Linked DNA regions of Struthio camelus. The protein of the gene in region 2 interacts with the protein of the main gene of each other region in a biochemical or structural test. Links are inferred from orthologs where the notes say so. Each region holds a gene or a part of one and is shown on either strand. Other genes may lie near its edges.

Region 1 (10,015 bases), on a different chromosome or scaffold from region 2:
TATGATGCTACTCTAGTCATAAGAATGACATGTCAGATCCCCCAGGGGTCAGTCCTGGGTCCAGTCTGGTTCAATGTATTCATCAATGACCTGGAGGAAGGGACAGAGTGCACCCTCAGCAAGTTTGCTGATGATACTAAACTGGGAAGAGTGGCTGACACACCAGAGGGCTGTGCTGCTGTTCAGAGGGACCTGGACAGGCTGGAGAGCTGGGCAGAGAGGAACCTCAGGAAGTTCCACAAAGGTGAGTGCAAGGTCCTGCACCTCGGGAGGAACAATCCCATGCAGCAGTACAGGCTGGGGGTTGACCGGCTGCAAAGCAGCTCTGCCGAGAAGGACCTGGGAGTGCTGGTGGACAACAAGTTAAACATGAGGCAGCCATGTGCCCTTGTGGCCAAGAAGGCCAAGGGGATCCTGGGGTGCATTAGGCAGAGTGTTGCCCACAAGTGGAGGGAGGTGATCCTGCCCCTCTCCTCAGCCCTGGGGAGGCCACATCTGGAGTACTGTGTCCAGTACAGGAGAGACATGGCGCTACTGGAGAGAGTCCAGCAGAGGGCTACAAAGATGATGAGGGGACTGGAGCACGTCTCCTGTGAGGAAAGGCTGAGAGAGCTGGGCCTGTTGAGCCTGGAGAAGAGAAGACTGAGAGGGGATCTGATCAATGTGTACAAGTATCTGAAGGGGGGCTGTCCAGAGGATGAGGCCAGTCTCTTCTCCGTGGTGCCCAGCGACAGGACAAGAGGCAACAGGCACAAACTGAACCACAGGCAGTTCCATCTGAACAGGAGGAAAAACTTCTTTCCTGTGAGGGTGACAGAGCACTGGAGCAGGTTGCCCAGGGAGGTAGTGGAGTCTCCTTCCCTGGAGATATTCAAAACCCGTCTGGATGTGATCCTGGGAAATATGCTCTAGAGGTCCCTGCTTGAGCAGGGAGGTTGGACTAGATGATCTCCAGAGGTCCCTTCCAACCTAAACAATTCTGTGATCCTGTGATCTCCCTGATGTCCTGTACATGCTCTGCTGCCACTATCTGTCCTACAGTGACTTGAGTTATATTGTTATAGGACTCTACATATATAGGACTCTATCCTAGCACAGGATAAGCAAATAGAAATATTAAAAGCACATAGAGTCCAAGCTGTGCTGTTGCTGTTCCCTACGGAAATACCTAACATTTTGTTCTAACAGAAGAGAAAATGCCAATTGGCCCTACCTTGTCATTAGCAGCATGAGTGCAGAAGTGCTCCTGCTGTACAGGAGGAACAGACAAGGTTCTTTAACTTGCTCAAGACCTTACCCATAGATTGCAAGGTTAAGGATAGTGATGTCATCTGCAGCCACATTTTCCTCTTAAGAAATTGTAAGGTTGATGTGATACAATAAATGTCTATTCGGTTACACAAGTTGGTGCAAGCTGCACATACCCTTAAGTCCCAGGGTGATTTAGCAACAGTGCTGTGTATACTTAAGAAAATGAGGACCTATTGTTATTATTTCCTCCTTGATAAGCATCCAAGAGTTCATCTGCTTTGCTCTCGATCCATTCAGAATTCAGCAGTCTGGATACTCATTGTGCTTTGCCTTGCTTATTGTACAGTAATGGGATATGAAGTGTCAGATTAAATGTAGGCATTGAACTATTGACTCTGCAGCCATCCTCTTGGTATCCGCCTCCTTCATGGCTATGTTTGTGAGCTGTTTCAGACGTCCCACTTGAACAGGTAGAGATCCTCTGACATACTTAGTTCTTTAACAGAACAGCAGCCAGTATTTTGGAGTTAAGCTGGAGACAAGGCCCTTGTTACAATAGGTGTCAAGGATGGCATTTTTTCCTTGGTTTGTCTGTCTGTCTATCTGTCTGTCTTCCTCCTTCCTCCCTTCCTTTCTTGTCTATCTGTCTGTCTATTTGTCTTTCTCTTTTTGTCTTTCTGTCATTCCTCTCCAAAACCTTGAGAAGTCTTTTATCTCTGGTGTTTAGCTCACCTCATTTCTTTGTAGGAAGAAAGTGAGGACTTATAAAAATGACAAGCAAATTAAGGGGTTGTGAATGCCATTACATGCTTCTGTAATTAAAGTCTGATTATCGTTTCAGTTGTGCCCTCATTAACAATGATGTACACAGAGATGGATGTGAAGATAAACAGATATAGAGCTCCTGTTGTGGTACATTTGTTGATTAGCAGGAATCCAGAGATAGGTCTTGCTCTCTTGATTGGGGGCCATGGGGAATAGGTCCCATAAAAGTCGAGTTATACGCAGACACAGAAACACAGGAAGCCCTGTTATGAAACACCAATTTTTTCATACTTAGGTTAGCTCTGAGATGCTGAAGCTGACCTTCAGCACAGCAACCATCTGCTCAATAGGTTTCCATCTCTCCTGGCATTAGGAATTACAAATATGAACTAGAAAAGGTAACAAAGCAGCTGTGCTCTCCTAGAGGTTGGGGTAGAGGCTTTCAAAGGCAGAGCGGTTCAAAGGTGTGTTCATCACTCAAAAGTTCAACCAAGTATGTTTGTGATTTTTATCTGCCTTTTGTTGACAGCGCTCCTCCTGCTGCATACAGTCAGCAATAGTGTCCCTGCTCTGAGCTGTGCCTCAGTGTGGCGTAACTGAGAATTGAACTTATGGGTAATGTGGTTCATATTTTTTAAAGCTAAGAGTATGTCTGCCCTTCAGCCAAGGGTGTGTTTGCAGCTTGTGTAGACATTCCCTAGTGAGCTTTAATCTAGCTAGATTGGATATTGATAGCAGTTTAGCCACTGCAGCCTGGAGCATAGCAGAGGCACAACACAGTTCTTTAGCCCACTTCTCAGGCAGGTTTTTCAGCCTGCACTGAGCTCTAAAGTTACTGCAGCAAGTAGGCAACATAGCTGGCTATCTAATTTAAGGATAGCTTAAGTGTAACCTTATGAGGTGAAGTGGCAGTCTGGCTGTGGACTGATTCTGGAGCTGGCTGGTTAGTAGTTCCTCAGGGCTCTTGTCACCCCAGTCTTTCTGCACCGACTCAGCAGAATCTGGCTATTAGATCTGGCATATTTTTTATAAGTTAATTTTATTAATAATCAGTCCAGCTCAGCACTTAACGTGTTTTCAAACATTCTGCTGTTTGATAGAAATTTCTGGTTCCAGTATCTATGCTAAAAATTGCTTTACTTCAAAAATATTTTAAAATTAATAATTACATGTGTGCGTGTGCTAAGTGATTAACCTCAAATTGCCGTGTAATTGCTGTGTCATAAGTATCCTATTAGGTCTAAATTAGATCATTGTTTGCAATATTTGAGATAATAGACCCAATTTTTCTTTTTCCATGTAATTTGCAAGAAAACAAAAGTTCTTCTGTGTGTGGATTACTTAGAGGGAATGTACAGATCCCCTCACAGAATCATCTTACAAATACTTACTTAATGACCTTAGCTGGGAATTATGTTATTTTCCTGACTATTGCTACATGCTGAGACTTAAATTTGTGCAGAGTTCTCAAAAGCATATTATGTGAGGAAATAATGCATTAATTGAGAGTAAAGGCAATTAATTGCCTTTATTGATCTACAATTTTAATTTTGCAATCTGAGATTAATCTGTTTAATTGAAGTTAATTTAGGGCATGGCCTCATGAGGCTTCCGTGATCTGAGCAGTGTTACTGATTTATGGCTTAAGCTTGTGTTAAAGGTCTGACGTATCTTCCCTTTGTGTTTTGTTACATGTTTCCAAATGAAGACGGTTTTTGTTTGCAGTGTTTCTCTCTTAGTTTTCTCTGGCAAATAGTGACACTGGTCACTGAAAGCTAAATATAGTATTATTTTTGCATTCCATTCATCAGTAAAAGTCTTTTTCCTCTTATTTACTGGGAAACCCAGTTAAAGAACCTGCATTACAACACAGTAAGCATTTCTGTTAAATAAGCTGTACTTGGTCTATGTATTCTATCTGACAAATTAGTGGAAAGAATTAAGAAAATATGATTAATCTATTCCTAACAATATCTACCAACTTCTAGGTCTTTTATACGTTCTTTTCAATCATAGAAACAGTGTATGAGTATCTTGATCAATATGTGAGATAGACCTAATTCAACGAAATTTTTAATGTACTGATTGGTTCCTGCAATATTAATCTATCAGCTACTCACGCAAAGGTGACATAAAATTATGAGCTCTATGTTAATTTAACAGTACCTTAGCCTTGCTGATGTCCGTAGTGCTGTGTCTACAAGAGTAGTCATGTAAATAGTCACATAAATTTTAAATGTCTTTTTTTACAGTACTAGATTTTTAAAAAATTACAAATCAGCCATGCACAGAACTGAGTAGGTGTTCCGCAATAGCAAACTGAGATAAAACAAGAAATAGAATGCAAACGTTGTTAATTTGTGTTCAGATATGGAATGAAAACATGAGGCATAGCCCTGGAAGGCGTCTGGTTGGGCAACAAGTCTGTTCCACTGCTGTTGCAGGCAGCCTGCAGTATAATCTCAACATACTTCTGAGTTTTCAGCTTCATCCTGAAAGTATTTAGATTGTTCTCATTGCAGCACTAGACCGGAAAAACGGTAAGCAAGTTGTGTGAAGAGCTGGTCTGAGATGGTGCTGGAGAGAACACCTGTTCATATCCTGAATAAGAGGGGAGAGACAGGAGAGGTAGGGGAAGGGATGGGGACCTAGGTGCAGACTGCGAAAGTAAGCTGTTTCCTGAAAGTCCTTCATCACAGTTGTTGTGCTGTTCCGTCAACTGATTCCTTTTCCTTTGCATTTGCTTTCATTAACGGCTTTGGGCTAGATTTAAAGTCTACTGCAGTCAACAAGAGTTTTTTTCCTTCTTTGCCAGCCTTTGTGTTTGAGCCCTAAGGGAGGCATTAAATATTTTTTCTCTCTTCTCTACAGCATTTAACTTGCTCTTGTAAATGGGTTTGATTCAGTGCCAGAGGTTCACTTCAGCAATCCTGCCAAAAAGCCCATTGAAGCAGAGGTGGGTGGATTTTTCTGATGACTAGTTTGCTTCCAGAAAGTTGTAGGTTTGGTCTTTCCAAATGTATTTGTGATTTGAGGTTGAATTCCTTAAATAGCAGTGATGAACTAAAAAACAAACAAAACACCGATAAGGAGTTTCTCCCCAGCATTTCCAAAACAAACAGCCTTGCTTTTCTAGTGCTAGATTGCTAAGAATGCCTTAAGTATGTTTTGCAGATCCTGCAAAGGCAGAAAGGCCATCATCACCATCATCTTGATGTTGAGGATATGACAGCCATTGGGTTTGAATCACTTTCCTTCCTGATACAGAGTAAAGACCTGAGCTATAGTCTTATTCTCAGAAATGGGCCTTCATTACTCATCTGTAGAATGTACCACCACAGGTGCTTTACACTCTCTCCTTGAAGCTGTTTTGCTTCATATAGTTAAACACTTACTGAGCTGAAGAAATTCCATAGCTGGTGTTCAAAGCCTCTGTGATGTACCTATTTTTTTCTTTGCTTTGCCAGCTTATGAAATAGAATGGTGATGCTTATGAGAGGGACAGAAGCAGACTGTCTGATGGCTACAGGAAGCCTTGCTCCAGGTGCCTGTCCTGGCTGAAGAAAAGGTGGGCTTTCATGTGAACTCCCCAAGGGGAGCAGAGCAGCTCAGCCCTGAACTGTGCTGGTGATAGCCTGTATAAGTAAGCATCTAAGTCACCAGGCTGCAAGGCATGAGAGTATCACTCCTTGCCTGTTTTGTAAATCTGGGTCTGTGTTTCAATTAATGATCCCCAAAAATGAGACATTTTGATCTCATTTATTGGGCAGATACTCCCCAAGTTAACTTCAGGTCAACAGAAAATTGTTATTATCATGCAGTCCTGGGAGCACTGTATTTTTCGTTATTTTTTCGTTCAGTCCTTTATGCTGGAGCACCACATGCAAGGCCAAGGAGTATTCATTTAGGTCAGCAGGGTTTCAGTTCCTGCAAGGACCTGGATATCAGTATCAGAAAGTGGAGAAATTAAATGAGGTTAAGGTGAACATACATGAGCATTAGAAAATATGCGAATTTAAAATGATTAAATAAATAGTTCATGTAATTTAATGTGAAATACAGTAATTGTCACAGAATGCCCCTTGTATCTGTGAGGCCTGTCAAACCACGTGAAGACCACTGGCAACATGGCTATGGGGAAGGTGTGAGTGAGAGAAGCAAGCACACAGAAAAGAGGAGCTATTTCACACCCAATTCAGAGAGGTGACATTCCTGCTGTCCTTGTACAAACCAGAGCAGGATGGATGGGGAAGAAAGCCACCACCTAGAAAAAAGGGGGAATAGATAGCTTCCAGGAAACAGGTGGCAAAAGACTATGCTAAAAAATAATATAATTACATACATCATATGCTTCTGAAATAAAACGGCTCAGTTAAATGGCAACAGCTGGAATGAATGGATTCAAATAATTTTTTCTCTGATGTCCATTTGTGATGAGTACTGAAGAAGAAATTATGCAAGCTAATGATAGTTACAGAACTGTGGCATACGGATTTAAGAGAGCTACTGCATGAAAGTTGAAGGTAGGAAATAAATGATCTGAAATTATTAGGTACATGGCTGACTTTTATGTTAACAGCTATAGGTTCTGATTCTGCAAACCCTAAACTATGTGAGAGTTGATCGTGAATATAATATATGAGAACAGCAATATATATTAAACATGCATAATTAGCAAAGCCTTGCTCTATGTTTTAATTATAAATGTTAGATCTCCATTTTGGTTTTAAACTGTGGAAAAATACAGAGAAAATGCATCTAGGTCTTTCCATTTTGCTGCAGAAATAATTTGCTTTTACTGCAATAAAAACAGATTTATTCTTTTTATATCTGTAGCTTCAGGAGTTTTCATTAAAAACAAAATCCTTTTTGTTGTTAAGGATAGTTTTTAACTTTCCTTTGTAAAGGAAATCTATCCAGAAAACCCTATGCCACAGAAGATAAAAGGCAGCAAAGAAAATGATCTTTCTCCTTCTTTCTCTTTTCCTTTCTCTCCCTCTCTTTTTTTTAAGAAGTAACTTAAAATGTGTGCGCTGTGTAAGAACGTGTGCTGAAGTTTCATGTTTCAGGTAATCTTCTTTAAAATAATGGGAGTATAGATTGCATCAGTTAGTTTAAAAACTGCTATGCTATTGGTAGGGACAAAATGGGATTAGAGCCAAAATTTGACTGTGTTACTGCCAGAGTCTGTATCAGATTTAAGACACATGCTTCTGCAAGCTTCCATGAAGGCTGTGAAAAAAGTTTTAATACAGAGTTGGATTACAGCTCTGTAGCTCAAAACATTGGCCATTACACTACTATCTTAAAAGGCTGATGTAACACGGAGCACAAAATAGAGAAGATCTTTTAAATTTTCTGGACCATAGATGGATTTTTCATACCTCTTTGTGTCCTGATGGAAGATATATCAACTTTGTTAACTGGAATCCATACCTGATTACTTGTGAGATTGTACGTGTGTGCATACAGATATATATCTATTTAAACTCTTATCATGCTTTGCTTTCAAGTATATCTAAAACCTACTCTAAGAAATGACATTCACTAGACGAATTTATAATTGTTTTGAAGAGTGAGAGCTAGATACTCTCATACGCTGGAATTCTTTGTGAGTTTATAACAGAAATTTTGGAAGCTTTCTTTTTTGTATTGGTGATAGAGAAATGCATTTCGAAACAGACGCCTCCAGCTGTATGACAATAACTGCGTAGCAACCTGTGGATCTGAAACATCACAATGTACAAAGCGTGGGCAACTGTGAATATTTTCATGGTGTCTTTTCTACATCTCCTGCAAGGATCTGATTATGAGAATGGATCTGTGAAGGTAGGTGATCTTTTCTTCACTGTCATTGTGAATAATCCAAACTGCCAGAAATAGGTAAATTTATTGTGCAAGGTGGTAGTCTTTTTGCTGTGCTTTTTTGTGTGTGGTTGTTTAGTTCTACAGATGTTTAGCAGCCACAGAGGAAAGAAAATCTTTAATGAAGTTTAATCCATACTCAGTGTTCAATATTTTCTTTTGCTACTCATTATTAATTAATTATTGTATACTTTCTTCCTAAATAAAACTTTTAATATCAGTTATTCAAAATAAAAAAAAAAATCTAAATAAAAATGCAAGTCAGAACATTTCAAATACTTGTTAAATTAACTCTTTTATTTCAGGAATGTATTGTTTCAGGAATTAATATCCTCATCTTGAAATTTTTCCTCTAAAAACACTTGTTTATCCGTTGTTCACTTGTTTCCAGATATCAGAGATATGTCTTCTTTTGTTTTATTAGGAAATGTTACCCAAGACTCTAAACTAAGCAGATACTAGTAATAATAGAGCACATGCCCGGGAATTAACCTTTCTTCTGAATGGAAAACATACAACAAAATTTGGGGTGAAGCCTTACCTTGAGAGCAGGATTTTTCGAATCTGACTTTCTGAGACAATGTGAGAACATCCAGGACAATCATTTCTAAAAATCAGAACAAGAACTGGAACAAGATCCTCAGCAAGCAGTATGTCCAAACCATGATTAATTCAGTGTGTGGTCCAGAACGAATTATTTGTTTTTCACCAGTGGAGCAAAACAAGTTAATACTTTTGTTTTCACTTCAGAAAACCTCCTGCTTGCAAGGGATGACCACACACTTGTCTGTGAAATGCATTGCATGTTGACCTCTGTTTTAGAAAAGAAATGCTAAGTTATGTGCTTAATTGCAGATTCCTGTTGCCAGCACAAGAAGTTAGTGGTGAGCGATGTGTGCTTCAGAGTGACTAATGACTAACCCCTTTTCCTGCCCACCATTCAAAAGCTTTTAACTTGGAACTTCAGCAATCAGTTCTTTGAAGGCATTAACAGCAGTGTAATCAATCTGTATATACATTACTTCACACACTGCATGACCAATCGCCGGTTTCTTACGTGAAGGAATCACTTTATTTAAATCAGAAAACAATTTCTAATAGAGAATACTAACCATTATGTAATTGGATATGATGACAATTCTGTTTTCACAAAGGGCATGAGTTTATTCAGCATAATAGTAAGCCACTACTTCAACTGAATTTTGAAACCTTATCCACTTTACCTAGAATAAATGCAAGACCTCTTCTTGCTGCTGCACCTACTTGTTATGCATAGTTTCTAGTTCATTCATTGTGATAGCATTGTCTGTCCAACAGATACACAGCTTTAATTGTTTTCATCTTAAGTTTGCTACCGATGTCAAGCAGCCACAGTCTAGGCATAGGGTATTCTTGCAATATAATAATAAATCACCGTTTATTTCCAAGACTATCATGAAGGTATAGCATAGATCACACTAAAAAGGGCTGTGTTTTGCATGCATTGGTTGCTGATTACCAAAACAAAAAGTCAGTTTCTCTGCTTGTTCAGACGGTATAGATAGTTCACTCTGCATAGACAGAGATTCTTGGCTGAGTTGTTGATTACTTTTGTTCTGATGTTTTATTTAGTATGTTAGATTTCTGGATTGTTCTGGCATTTATGACCCATGGCTTTGTGTGTGTATATATCCCACAAAAAATCCTTCATGTTACAGTGTTTAATGGTACACAGGGTTACACTCATTCTTACTGATGTGCCTTAATTTTAGTTGCAGAACACAGAAAGAATGTATTGTATCCACCTTTCCCACCTTAATTTTTAAAGCTTTTTAAGATCAACGGCAATATTGCCAGAATAAAAGCCACAAAGTCAGGATGTAGGGAATACACATCTAATAAGGCACAAGGAATCACACAGAAGCAACCTACTGTCTCTATCAGTTGTTATATTAGTCCAAGCAACTGAGCTCTACACAGTAAAGCTGAAGTTTTAAACCTGTTGATGACTCAGGTGGTTGTCAATGTGATATCAGTTGATAGAGTTTTGAGGGGAATTAAATACTCATTTATCCCCCTTCCACAAATATCCTACATAATATTGTGAACGTTAAAAAGCTTGCTTACAAGCTGCCATAGTCTGAGTTATGGTTAA
Region 2 (10,138 bases):
CCTCCTGCACGGGCCAACCTGCCTCCCTGCCGGCCCCCGGGGCACCTCCCATCCTCCCGCCACGACGACTGGCCACCAGCAGCCTTATCCAGGCAAGCCGTGATGTTGCAGACCTCTCTCGCGACGCCCTGGCGCGCTCCGTCCTTCCTCGCGCGGAAACCTCTGCTCGTCCGCTGCCGCTCCGCCACCCTCCCTGAGCGGGCTCAGGCTGCGCGGTCCGGCCACCGCAGCGCTTTCTGCTTCTCCCCAGATCTATAGGATGCCCCGGGGCATCCCCACAACCCTGGGCTTATTACACCTCTCCCCCAAACAGGGGGAGGTGACACGTTCCCCCCCCCCCCAACCTCGTCCCCATCCCTGGGTGCCGTTTCAAACCAGCTGCCTGAATTGGAAGACGAACGCCTCGAAAGCCAGCCAAGGCTGAGACACGCGTTTGGAAACACCTCTGCGGCGCTGCGGGAGCTCGAGAGGCTGGGGACGGGCGGGCGAGACGGGCGCTATCCCTAGGGAGCGCTCCGCTTCCCAAAGCCGCGGAGAGCCGGGGAGTCGTCGCGAGCCCTTCTGCTCGGTGGCAACTCTGCCCAGAAACGGCCCCCGAGCGCCGCGGACCCCCCGACCCCGTGGAGCGGCGGCCGCGGCCCCTGCCGTCGGCGCGGACCCCTTCTCGCTGCCGTTCCCGTGGGATCCCGCTCTCCCGTCCCCTGGCCAGGAACTGCCCCGGGGACGCCGGGAACAGCGAGTTCCCTCCCAGGCCAGCCGGGAACACCTGCCCTTCCCACGCCGAGGGCGCCGGGCGGCCCGACCGCGGGGTCCAGAGACGCCCCCCCGGGGGCGGCGATGCCGCGCGCGCGGCGGCACGCGTGCCAGAGCCCTCGGCGGGCTGGCGGAGCGGGGTGGGCGATGCCGGAGGTAGCCCCCCTCCTGGCCGGGATGGGTCCGTCCCCGTCCCGCGCTGCCCCGGGGACATTGTGCCGCTGGGGGTGTGTCCCCCGGCCAGACGTCAACTCCAGCTCGGCAACAAACATCCTCGTGGCTGTTTTTGCAGGCACGGAGCCGCTGGCTCGCGTGCCCGAGCCAAATCCCAGGGTGGTAATTGCAGCCCATTCATCTGAATTTCTCCTTAAACAGACAGCAGGGCACGGGGGCTCCGGCCGCCCCCTCGCCGGGAGCCCCGCAGCAGCGCTCGCGAGCTGCGGCCCCGCAGCCCCCCCATCGCCCGCCTCCCCGGCCCTGGATCTGGTTCAGCACTAACAAGTGGCTGGATTAAACCAGAGTGGGGTTGGTTGCGCGCTCACGAAAGGGTGTTGCCGAAATGGCCCCTGTTTATTACTTGCAATAAAGCAACTGCTTCAAATCGCAGCTGCAAACCCAAATGTTGCTGCTGGCACCGTCCGAGCAGCACCCGGACGGGGGGAGGTCTGCGCGCTCTTCGAGGAGGGTACGCGGCTTCAGCCAACGCAGTCGGCCCGCGTCCTACACAGGCACGGGCCCTTCTGAGAGATGATGTTCAAAGCGGCAAGCTGGGGTCCCCCGCCGACGTTGCTCGGCTGCGGGGCGGTGAGCTCTCGTCCTGGCGCAGAGCGTGGCTGCTCACCGCCGCTGCAAGAGCCGGGCAGGGAGCGCACGCTCCCACGCGCCGTCCGCAAAGGGCCACCCCGAGACGCACCCCGTCTGCTCCCCGCCATGGTGCGCGCGCAGGGCAGCACCGCGGCTGCTCCATCCAGGCAGAGGGCAGCAGCCCGCGTCCACCACGCGCCCTGCAGAGAACCTCCAAGCCGGGACAGAGCGAAAGGCCACGCGCTCTCAGAAAGAGGCAGACACCCCCAATCCGCGATGGCCCATTTAGCCCAGCGATGGGGTGCAGCAATACCCAGGACACAGGAACCAGAGTGAGAGCAGAAGAAATCTTTCACAGTCTCAAGATCCTTCTTACCTTCTGGGTGGACCAATCTCATACCCATGTCCCTGCTTCCAGGGAGAGCAAGTATTTGCACCTAGCTGTAAAGACGTTAAATGGGGATTTGATGCACTGAAGAATTTGTGGGTGCTTTGTGCACGAGACATTGGGTCCCACAGTCGAGCTCTGTGTCAACCTTCCTTGTGGCACTAATCAGGCAGCGCTGGAGAGCTTCAAAGCTCTGCACAGCCCTTAGCTGATTAGGCCCACACATCACGCAGCAGCGCGCTGGTCAGAGTATCCCCAAGGCAAAGCTCCCAGCACCTCCGGGAGATGAAAGAACCTGAGGAACAGCTACAAGATGCTTTACAAATTGCTAACAAAAGGGCTTTGAACAGCTGCAGCTCTCTTCGCAATGCCACCAGCAGCAAGTCCCTTTCTACCCTGCCTCCCGGAGCTCCCCTTGAGGTCCAACAGCCTGGCGAGTCCAGGACACAAGGCAAATTGGCAGCATTTGGGACAGTGCAAGCTCTCCGTGTGGTGCCCTCCCCGTGGTCCTGCCCTGGCAGTGCCCTCTGCCAGCGATGCTCCCCATAACACACCTCCGTACCCTTCGCAGCAGGGACGGGTTGGACCTGCAGCCCTCCTGCGAGCTCGCTTTGACGACGGCAGCAAACGCAGCCGGTGACAGTGAGTCACCGAGCTGAGGTTACAGCGAATTCTATTTATGCTCCCAAAATTCATCTCCCCATGTTGGAAGCTTCCTGCGTTACTAACTTTTCTGGCAGCCTCGCTCTTATCTGGGCTGTCAACGCTTTGCTGTTGCATCCAGGAGCGTGCCCAGCCTGAGACGGTGGAGCTGGTGCCCCACGCCCACTCCCTGGGCTCCTGCCTGGTGGCGAGCGCCCCACGTCGCTCCCTGCCTGCTCCGTGCCCACTTTCCGCTGGCAGCGGTGGCCTGGTACCCCTCGAGATACGCCACTCACCACCCTGCAGCCTCCTGGCACCAAAATCAGCTCCCTGCTCTGCGCAGGAAGGGAGGGCCCCCGCGGACCCACAGCAACGCGCACCCCGCTGCAACAGCCCGGAGCGCCGCGCTACGCGGGGCCGCGGAGGCTCAGCCGGGAAAGCAGACGCGGTTGGCCACGCGCACCCCGCCAGGCCCAGCACCCTGCCCTCCGCGCCCCGGGCGGCTGGGTCGCAGCCCCGTCTCTCCGCCGCGCTCCGGCGTCCATCCGCACCGCGCCGCGGCCCGCGGCTTCAACTCTCTGCCCCAAGGCCCTTTCGCCCCAGAAGCGCTACGGCAGGAGGAGCGTTGCGCAGGGAAGGAGCGGAGCGCGGAGCCGGCCTGCGCGCTGCCCCGCCGGCGCGCCCGCAGCCCCCGCCGCGGCCCCGCGAGAGGCGGCGACGAGGGGACCGCGACGGCGCCCTCCCGGCCCGGCCCGGCCCGGCCCATCCCGGCCGCCGGGGACAGCGGGGCGGGCGGCGGCGGTGCCCGTCGGGGCGCGGCACGTCCCCAGCGGGGACAGCGGGGCGGCAGCGCCGGTGCGCGGCGCGGCCCCGTCGGGGCCGGGCGATGCCGGCGCGGGCAGCGGCGGTGCCCGTCGGGGCTCAGACCCGGCAGCGGCGGCTCCCGGCACAGCCCCGCCGGGGCCGCCCCACGTCGGCCAGCGGGGCAGAAGGGGCGCAGCCGCCCGGCAGCCTGCCCGGGGTGGGGAGGGGGGGGGGAAGGGGGGCACCACCTCGCCCGGCGCCCCGCGGGGGCCGGTGCCGCTCACCTGCCTCCGAGACAAAGCCGAGCCAGAGCCAGAGGGGCAGCGTGCAAACTCTCTTCATCTCCGGGGCGGCGGCAGGTCCCGGCGGCGCGGAGCGGTGCGCAGCGGTGCGGAGCGGAGCGCCCCGCGCCCGAGCTCTGCTCCCGCCGCGCCCCAGCTGCGGCGACGCGCGCGGCGGGCGGGGAGCACCGGGGCCGCTTCCTTTTCCTCCGCCCGCCCGGCCGGCCGCCCGCCGCCCTCCGCCGGGCCCGCGGGGCGCGGGGGGGCCGGGGCCGGGGCCGGGGCGGGGCGCGGGAGGGGGGCGCACCTGCCGGCGCCGCCTGCGCCCCGCCGCTGGGTGCGGGGGCCGCGCCGCCGCGCGGGTGGGCGTGTGTCCCCGCACGGCTGTGTGTGCATCCCTCTGCACCGGGGGGGGGGCGGCGGGGGGACTCTGTGTGTGTGTGCATGTGCGTCCCTCCCTTCACCGGAGTGCATGCCTCTGCTTCCCCGCTGCAGCCCTCCTTCATGCGTGGGCAGCCATGGGCATCCCCCTGCACCCGTGTGCGTGTGTGTGTGCTTCCCCCTGCACCCGTGTGCGCGTGTGTGTGCATCACCCTGCACCTGTGTGCACCTGTATGTGCACCACCCTGCACCTGTGTGCATGTGTGTGCATCCTCCTGCACCTGTGTGTGTGTGTGTGCACCCACCCTGCACCTGTGTGCACCTGTATGTGCACCCACCCTGCACCTGTGTGCGTGTGTGCACCACCCTGCATCCGTGTGCATGTGTGTGCATCCTCCTGCACCTGTGTGCACCTGTGTGTGCATCCTCCTGCACCTGTGTGCGTATGTGCACCACTCTGCACCTATCTGCTTGTGTGTGTACCCTCCCTGCACCTGTGTGCATGTGTCTGCATCCCCCTGCACCTGTGTGCTTGTGTGTGCAGAACCCTGCACCTGTGTGTGTCGCTGTGCTTCTTCCCTGCTCTGGCGTGCACGGGTGTGCGTCCTCCCCATGCCTCTGTGCAAGTGTGTGTATCCCCTTGCATCTGCGTGCATGGGTGCCCTGCATCTGTGTGTCCGCATGTGCATACCCCCTGCATCCGTGTGGGCATGCTTGCGCTCCTCCTCATATCTGCATGGACACGCATCACCCTGCATCTGCGTGCAAATGCCGATGCACCCCCTGCCCCTTACTTGTGCTAGTGTGCACACACACACACTTCCTCAGACCTGTGGGAATGCACACAAATATCCTCTCGCACCAGCATGCACACGCACAAGCCTCATACTTGAACATGCACCCCTCACACCTGCACGCACACACCCCTTCATGCCTGCATGCACACACACACACGCGCGCGCAATACCCCACACCTCACACCTGCACACGCACGCCTAGGCACACAGTTCTCCTGCAGCCCCGCTCCCCCCGCACACCCCCCAAGGGCACACAGCGACGCACACGCGCTTCCTCCCGCCCCGGGCGCAGCCTCGCTCCCGCACACCCTCGCCTTGGGGGGCGCGAGGGCGCCCCGGTGCTGCAGCCCGCCCGTGCACGCCGCCGGCAGCGTGGGGCAGCCGCGTCGCTGCGCGGCCCCTCGCCCCCTGCACACCCGCTCCGCTCCCCAGCACCGCTACACGTGGCATGCGGCACCCCTCGCCGACAGACCCGCGCCCGAATCCGCACCCAGACACGTGCGTGCCACGAAACACGGGGCCGGCGCGCACGCCGGCCCGCGGAGACACCCTCTGCGGCACGGGCTGCTCCCTGCCTGCTCCCTCCTCCGCCAGCTCTTCGCTGCTTTCTTTCCGCTCGCTTTTCCCTTTTCAAGTCATTCTTCATCCTGCAGGCGCGTTGCCAGCCCCAGCCCTCCGCCTCGGCGAGCCGAGGGGCGCCGGGAGCCGTGGGGCCGGTGGGCCGCTCCGCACGCCCCTCGGCTGCCCCGGGGGCCGCAGCCGTCTCCTCCGCGGACGGCGGGATGCCATCTGCCACGCGCGGCCGGGAAGGCGCTCGGCTGCGCCGCGGGCGCCGAGGCGCTGCCAGCTGCTGCCGCAGCTCCGCGCGCGCCCCCAGCCAGCGCCGCTGCCCCCGCGCCGCTGCCAGCGAGGCCGGGCTTCGCGCCCCTGCAAAACCGTCCCTTGAGAAAGCACCCTGGGCGGCTGGACGCGACGGGTGGCCGACGCGGGTGCCTGCCGGCCCGCGGGGTCCCTGCGGCCGGCCGTAGGATCCCGGGGTACCGGGGCGGTCAGGAGCTCCAGAGCTGGTGGAAGGAGGGAAAAAAAAATCTCCTTCTTGGGCCAGGCGCCACCAAGCAATGAAGAAAGAGGGAAAAAACCCCGCGAAGAAGATGAAAGCGGAGAGCTGTGCAGAAATGCCATTCAATTAGCAGCTAGTAACCGGTAATCTCCGTGCAGACGGACGCAGCGTCGTGCGGAGCTTTAAATAAATAAAGAAACGCGGCCCCGCGCTGCGCCGCGGCGGTTTATTAATCACGGCCCGTTTGCAGAAGCCCGAAGGAGACCCGTGTGCTCGCGGCTTTAAACAGGCGCGAAAACCTTCTGCGCGCTCGAGCGCTCTCGCTGCCCAGCCTGCGCAAGAAACACCGGCAGCCCTTCTGCCCGGCCCGCGAGGCAAGCCGCAGCCGCCGCAAGCACGGCCCCAGCGAGGATTTTGCGAGCTTTTAACCCCGAGAGCACCCGGCCGGGCTGTTCTTCAGCACGCTCGTCTTGAACCAACCTCCCGGCCCAAAACCCGAGGGGGCCCCGGCAAGGCCGGGCAGCGCGGGATGGGGTCCCTCGGCGGAGCCGCGCCGCCCCGGTGCTCCCGGCCGTGGCAAGGCCAGAGCGATGGAGCCGCGAGCAGGGGCGAGAGGCTGGAGGGAGCGCCCCGCCGAGAGGCGGCCCGACCTCCCCGGCACCCCGAAAGCCGAAGCATTTCGGCATCGCTTAGCTCCGTGCAGTCCAAATTTGGCACCCGGCCGGGGACCGGCCCGCCCGTGCTGCCATCTAACGGCGGGACGTGCGGCAGAGCGAGACCAGGGGAGCAGCCAGGACAACGCGGCCCGTTCCAGGGGACAGAGAGCGAGGCCGGGCCCTCGCGCGCTCGGATGCCCGCTCCGCCGGGCAGCGGGCTTCGGTGCAACGCGGCTTTTTTTCAGGGAGGAGCAGGGAGGCAGCGGTGCCGCTTCGGGGCTGGGCCCGCGGCGGCGGTGCCGCTCGCTGCCGGCAGCCCGTGCCGAGCGCGGTGCCGCCGTCCCCCAGGCATCCCGCCGCCCGGCGATGGCTGCCGTTCGCTCCCGAGCCCGAGCTGCTTGCGTTTCGGGAGCAGAGCCACCCTGGGGTGGGGGGGGGAGACGACGGGCCGCTGCCGTCGAACCGCCCCGGCATCTCGCCCGCTCGCTGCAGCCTGTCCGAGCAAGCGGCTCTTCCTGCTCTGCTTTTCCCCTGCTCGCGGCGGGCGGCGAGGGGACGCGCCAAGAGCAGGGCAGGCAGGCGTCGGGGACATCCGCCCGCGCTCCCTGCAAGGCGCTCTCCTCCGGCCGCTGCAAGGCAGAGCCCCTCGCCCCCGTGCCCGGCGGGGCAGGGAGAGGGACAGGCGGAGGACGCGCTGGGACGAACGTCCTTAGGCACGGCTGTAAGGAGCCGGGAAGCCCTCCTGGCCCTCACCGCGGCGCAGGGCCTCGAGCCTCTGCAGAGCGAGAGCTCCCTCGCTCCCGCCAGCACCTCAGGCTACGCGGGGCCGGATTAGCGGCGGCCTCCGCTTTGACCCCGAAGCGGACTTCGGTGGCATAAACACGGCAATCCCACCCCGGCCACGGCCGAGGCCTCCGCCCACCCGGCCCCAGCACCTCCGGCCTCCCAGAAGCACCGCCGAGGCGAGACGGCAATGCAGCCGGCCTCCCCGCGGGCGAAAACCGCGGCAGCAGAATCCAGTCGACCTCTCCCTGGGGGAGCCCGGCTTTGCCTTCCCGCCAGGGCTGCTCCGGGGGGGGAAGGAATCGGCTCGGTGCCGCCGGAGCATCCGCCACCGTTACGGCGGGACAAGCCAGTGCTCGGCGCGAGGGTGCACGCGGGCACGAGAGGGGCTACAAAGCCAAGGAAGGAGCGAGCGCCCGCATGCAACGATCCGCCATACCCGGGATGCTCCAGAGCCAGCCAGGACGGGGCGGCTTCCGGATCACACAGAGACCCGAGTCCCTGGCTGGGCTCTCAGTTAAGGCCGTCCCGTGCTCGGCCCTTGCTGCCTCATGCTTTGCAGCAGCGGGGAGGCTGGGGCACAGGCAGAGCCACGTCCCTCGGGGTGCCCGCTGTCGGGACGCGGAGGCCCCAGGCCTGGGCTTGGCTCAGACGAACCCTCCCCACTCCTCCAGGCTGGGGCGTCGCGCTCGCTGCCAGCTCTCCCCCAACACGGCCCCCTTTCCAAGCAGTCCGACCAAGGGGGTCAGCAAAAGGCTAAAAGCATCTGGCAAGATGGCTGGGGAGCGCCCCAAGGGTACGGCGGGGCCGCTGCAGCCACTGCTCCCATAAGGGAAAGTCCCTCGCTGGGATCAGAAGAACATCTAAAACCCCAGTTGCTTCAATGCAGAAGTAGCTGCGCGGCAGGTTGCACACCCGCCAGGTCCCCAGCGCTGGCACGGGCTGCCCTAACCCAAACACCGCTGCACACACATCCCCGCCGCCCAGCCCTCCAGGACCATCTCTCTTCCTAGCTCCTGTGCTACAGGGCAGAGGGGAAGCAGCCTGGCCCGGAACAGGGACCGGAGCCACACACGGCTGCTCCACATCCCCCTGGGTCGTGCCATACCCCAGCCCTCGGGCTCCTCTGCAGTCTGCAAGACACGAGCCAGTACAGCAGGCAGCAGCCTTTCGAAGCTTTAATGGTGGCACCGCAGCTAGAGCTGGGGGGAGCCAGTCCCGCGGCCTCTCAGGTGCAGCGGGGCCCGGGCCATGCTCTGGCCGAGCACGGAGCTCCCTCTGCCGGGAGCGGTCCTGCAGCCTCCCGGGAAACGCGCTCCAAGCAGAGGAAATCCCCTCATCTGGGCTCAGAAATCCTTCATGCGTGGCCACCCCGGTGGCACACGATGGATGCAGGCCCTCGCGGGCATCGCTCATGTTCTTGGCCCTTGGAGGCACCTGATAACGGGTCCTGGTGCTCTGCAAACGCTCTCCTTGTCCTCTGCGGGCTTCACGAGCAGAAGAGCCACGGCGTGGAGGCCACAGCTCCGGCAGCTCCAGTTATCGAGCTCTGCAACTTTCAGATTTCACAGGCTGTTCTCCAACACGCGTCAGCCAGAGCGCAGGGCCGGATCTGCAGCCCACGGCACTGCAACGTGAGAGCAGAGCCAGAAAGGGGATGAGATTCATCTGCTCTCTCTCTGCCAGGAGCCAGCGAAGAGCCTCGCTGTTGTCACCAGGTGGCTGTGCACAGGCCCGGACGCCGGCCCACCGCACGGGCTCTGGGCAGCCCGCGGAGCCAGGCACTTCCCTCCGGCAGGAGACTCCTCAAACGGCAGCAGCCAGAAGCAGCGCAGGAGCCTGGCCATGACGGCAGCATCCCCATGGCCCCCATGGGACACCACCCCCTTCTCCTCCCTCTGCCCTCACAGGGCCAGGTGGCAGATGCGCATGGGCTCCATGTTGTCCTTCCCATCACTGAAGCAGGTGCTGAAGAAGGGGCAGTATCTCTCTGCAGAGACCTGCCGGAAGGTGAAGAGGTGAGACATGTCCCCAGCATCGAAGAAGGCCACGGTGCCCTCGTGACAGTCCAGGAAGACCCCCACTTTCCGGGGCGGCCGCCGTGGGGCCAGGCGCACCCACGGGGTGGTGGTGGCACAGTACTCTGTCTTGTTCCTCAGGCGAAGTGTCCAGTAGCCGTTCTCTGGGCACAGCTTGACCTTCGCTGCCCGGTCCACAGCCTCTGCAGCCACCCCCAGGTCCCACTTGGTTTTGCTGCCCACCCACACCTCCCAGTAGTGCTGGCCGCTGTCGAACACCTGCGAGCCCAGGACATTCACGCACTGCTGGAAGCGCCGGGGACTGGGGCGGACCAGCCGAGGTCTGTCTTTCTCTGTCACCGCAGTCAAGTCTCTGGAGAAGATCAGGTTGGGGTGGGCAGATTCGAGGTCGAAGGTGAGTGTAGCAGGAGCTGCAAAGAAGTCAAGCGGGGTGTTTTCCGGGTTGCGTATTCCCTCTGCTGAGCACTCCTGGCCTCAGCACCCTCCGCCTCCCCAGCACATCCATCTCTTGCAATGAGCCACTTACCGGGGCAGATGGATCGCAGCATCTGCCTCCAGAAGATGTACTGCAAGGGGCCCCCGTGGCTGTCCCGATAGTGCTCCAGGTTGAAGGCAGGCTGGGTCTCGACGCACACCATGGGCCTGGGGCAGAGAGAGTGGAATGGGTCCTTCTGCCATGCCATTAGCAAAGCACACGAGAACAGACCACTCGGTGACCACAGCACACCACTGAGCAGAACGGGTTTGGTA

What was found.
Region 1: the proteins of FLT4 (region 2) and VEGFD form a complex in vitro, tested with the Homo sapiens proteins (2 studies listed by BioGRID). The link is inferred for Struthio camelus from reciprocal best matches to the Homo sapiens genes FLT4 and VEGFD.

The regions. Positions count from the first base shown.
Region 1 is NC_090942.1:139,491,375-139,501,389, forward strand, and holds the start of VEGFD (vascular endothelial growth factor D), read left to right. Parts: upstream 1-6,134; 5' UTR 6,135-6,539; intron 6,540-6,946; exon of another isoform or gene 6,947-7,085; intron 7,086-7,198; exon of another isoform or gene 7,199-7,470; intron 7,471-7,678; 5' UTR 7,679-7,755; coding exon 7,756-7,845; intron 7,846-10,015. UniProt on the Homo sapiens protein: Growth factor active in angiogenesis, lymphangiogenesis and endothelial cell growth, stimulating their proliferation and migration and also has effects on the permeability of blood vessels.
Region 2 is NC_090954.1:7,200,868-7,211,005, forward strand, and holds the start of FLT4 (vascular endothelial growth factor receptor 3), read right to left. Parts: upstream 3,826-10,138; 5' UTR 3,734-3,825; coding exon 3,676-3,733; intron 1-3,675. Other genes in the region: nuclear factor 7, brain-like, read right to left, coding at 9,254-9,798, 9,915-10,030. UniProt on the Homo sapiens protein: Tyrosine-protein kinase that acts as a cell-surface receptor for VEGFC and VEGFD, and plays an essential role in adult lymphangiogenesis and in the development of the vascular network and the cardiovascular system during embryonic development.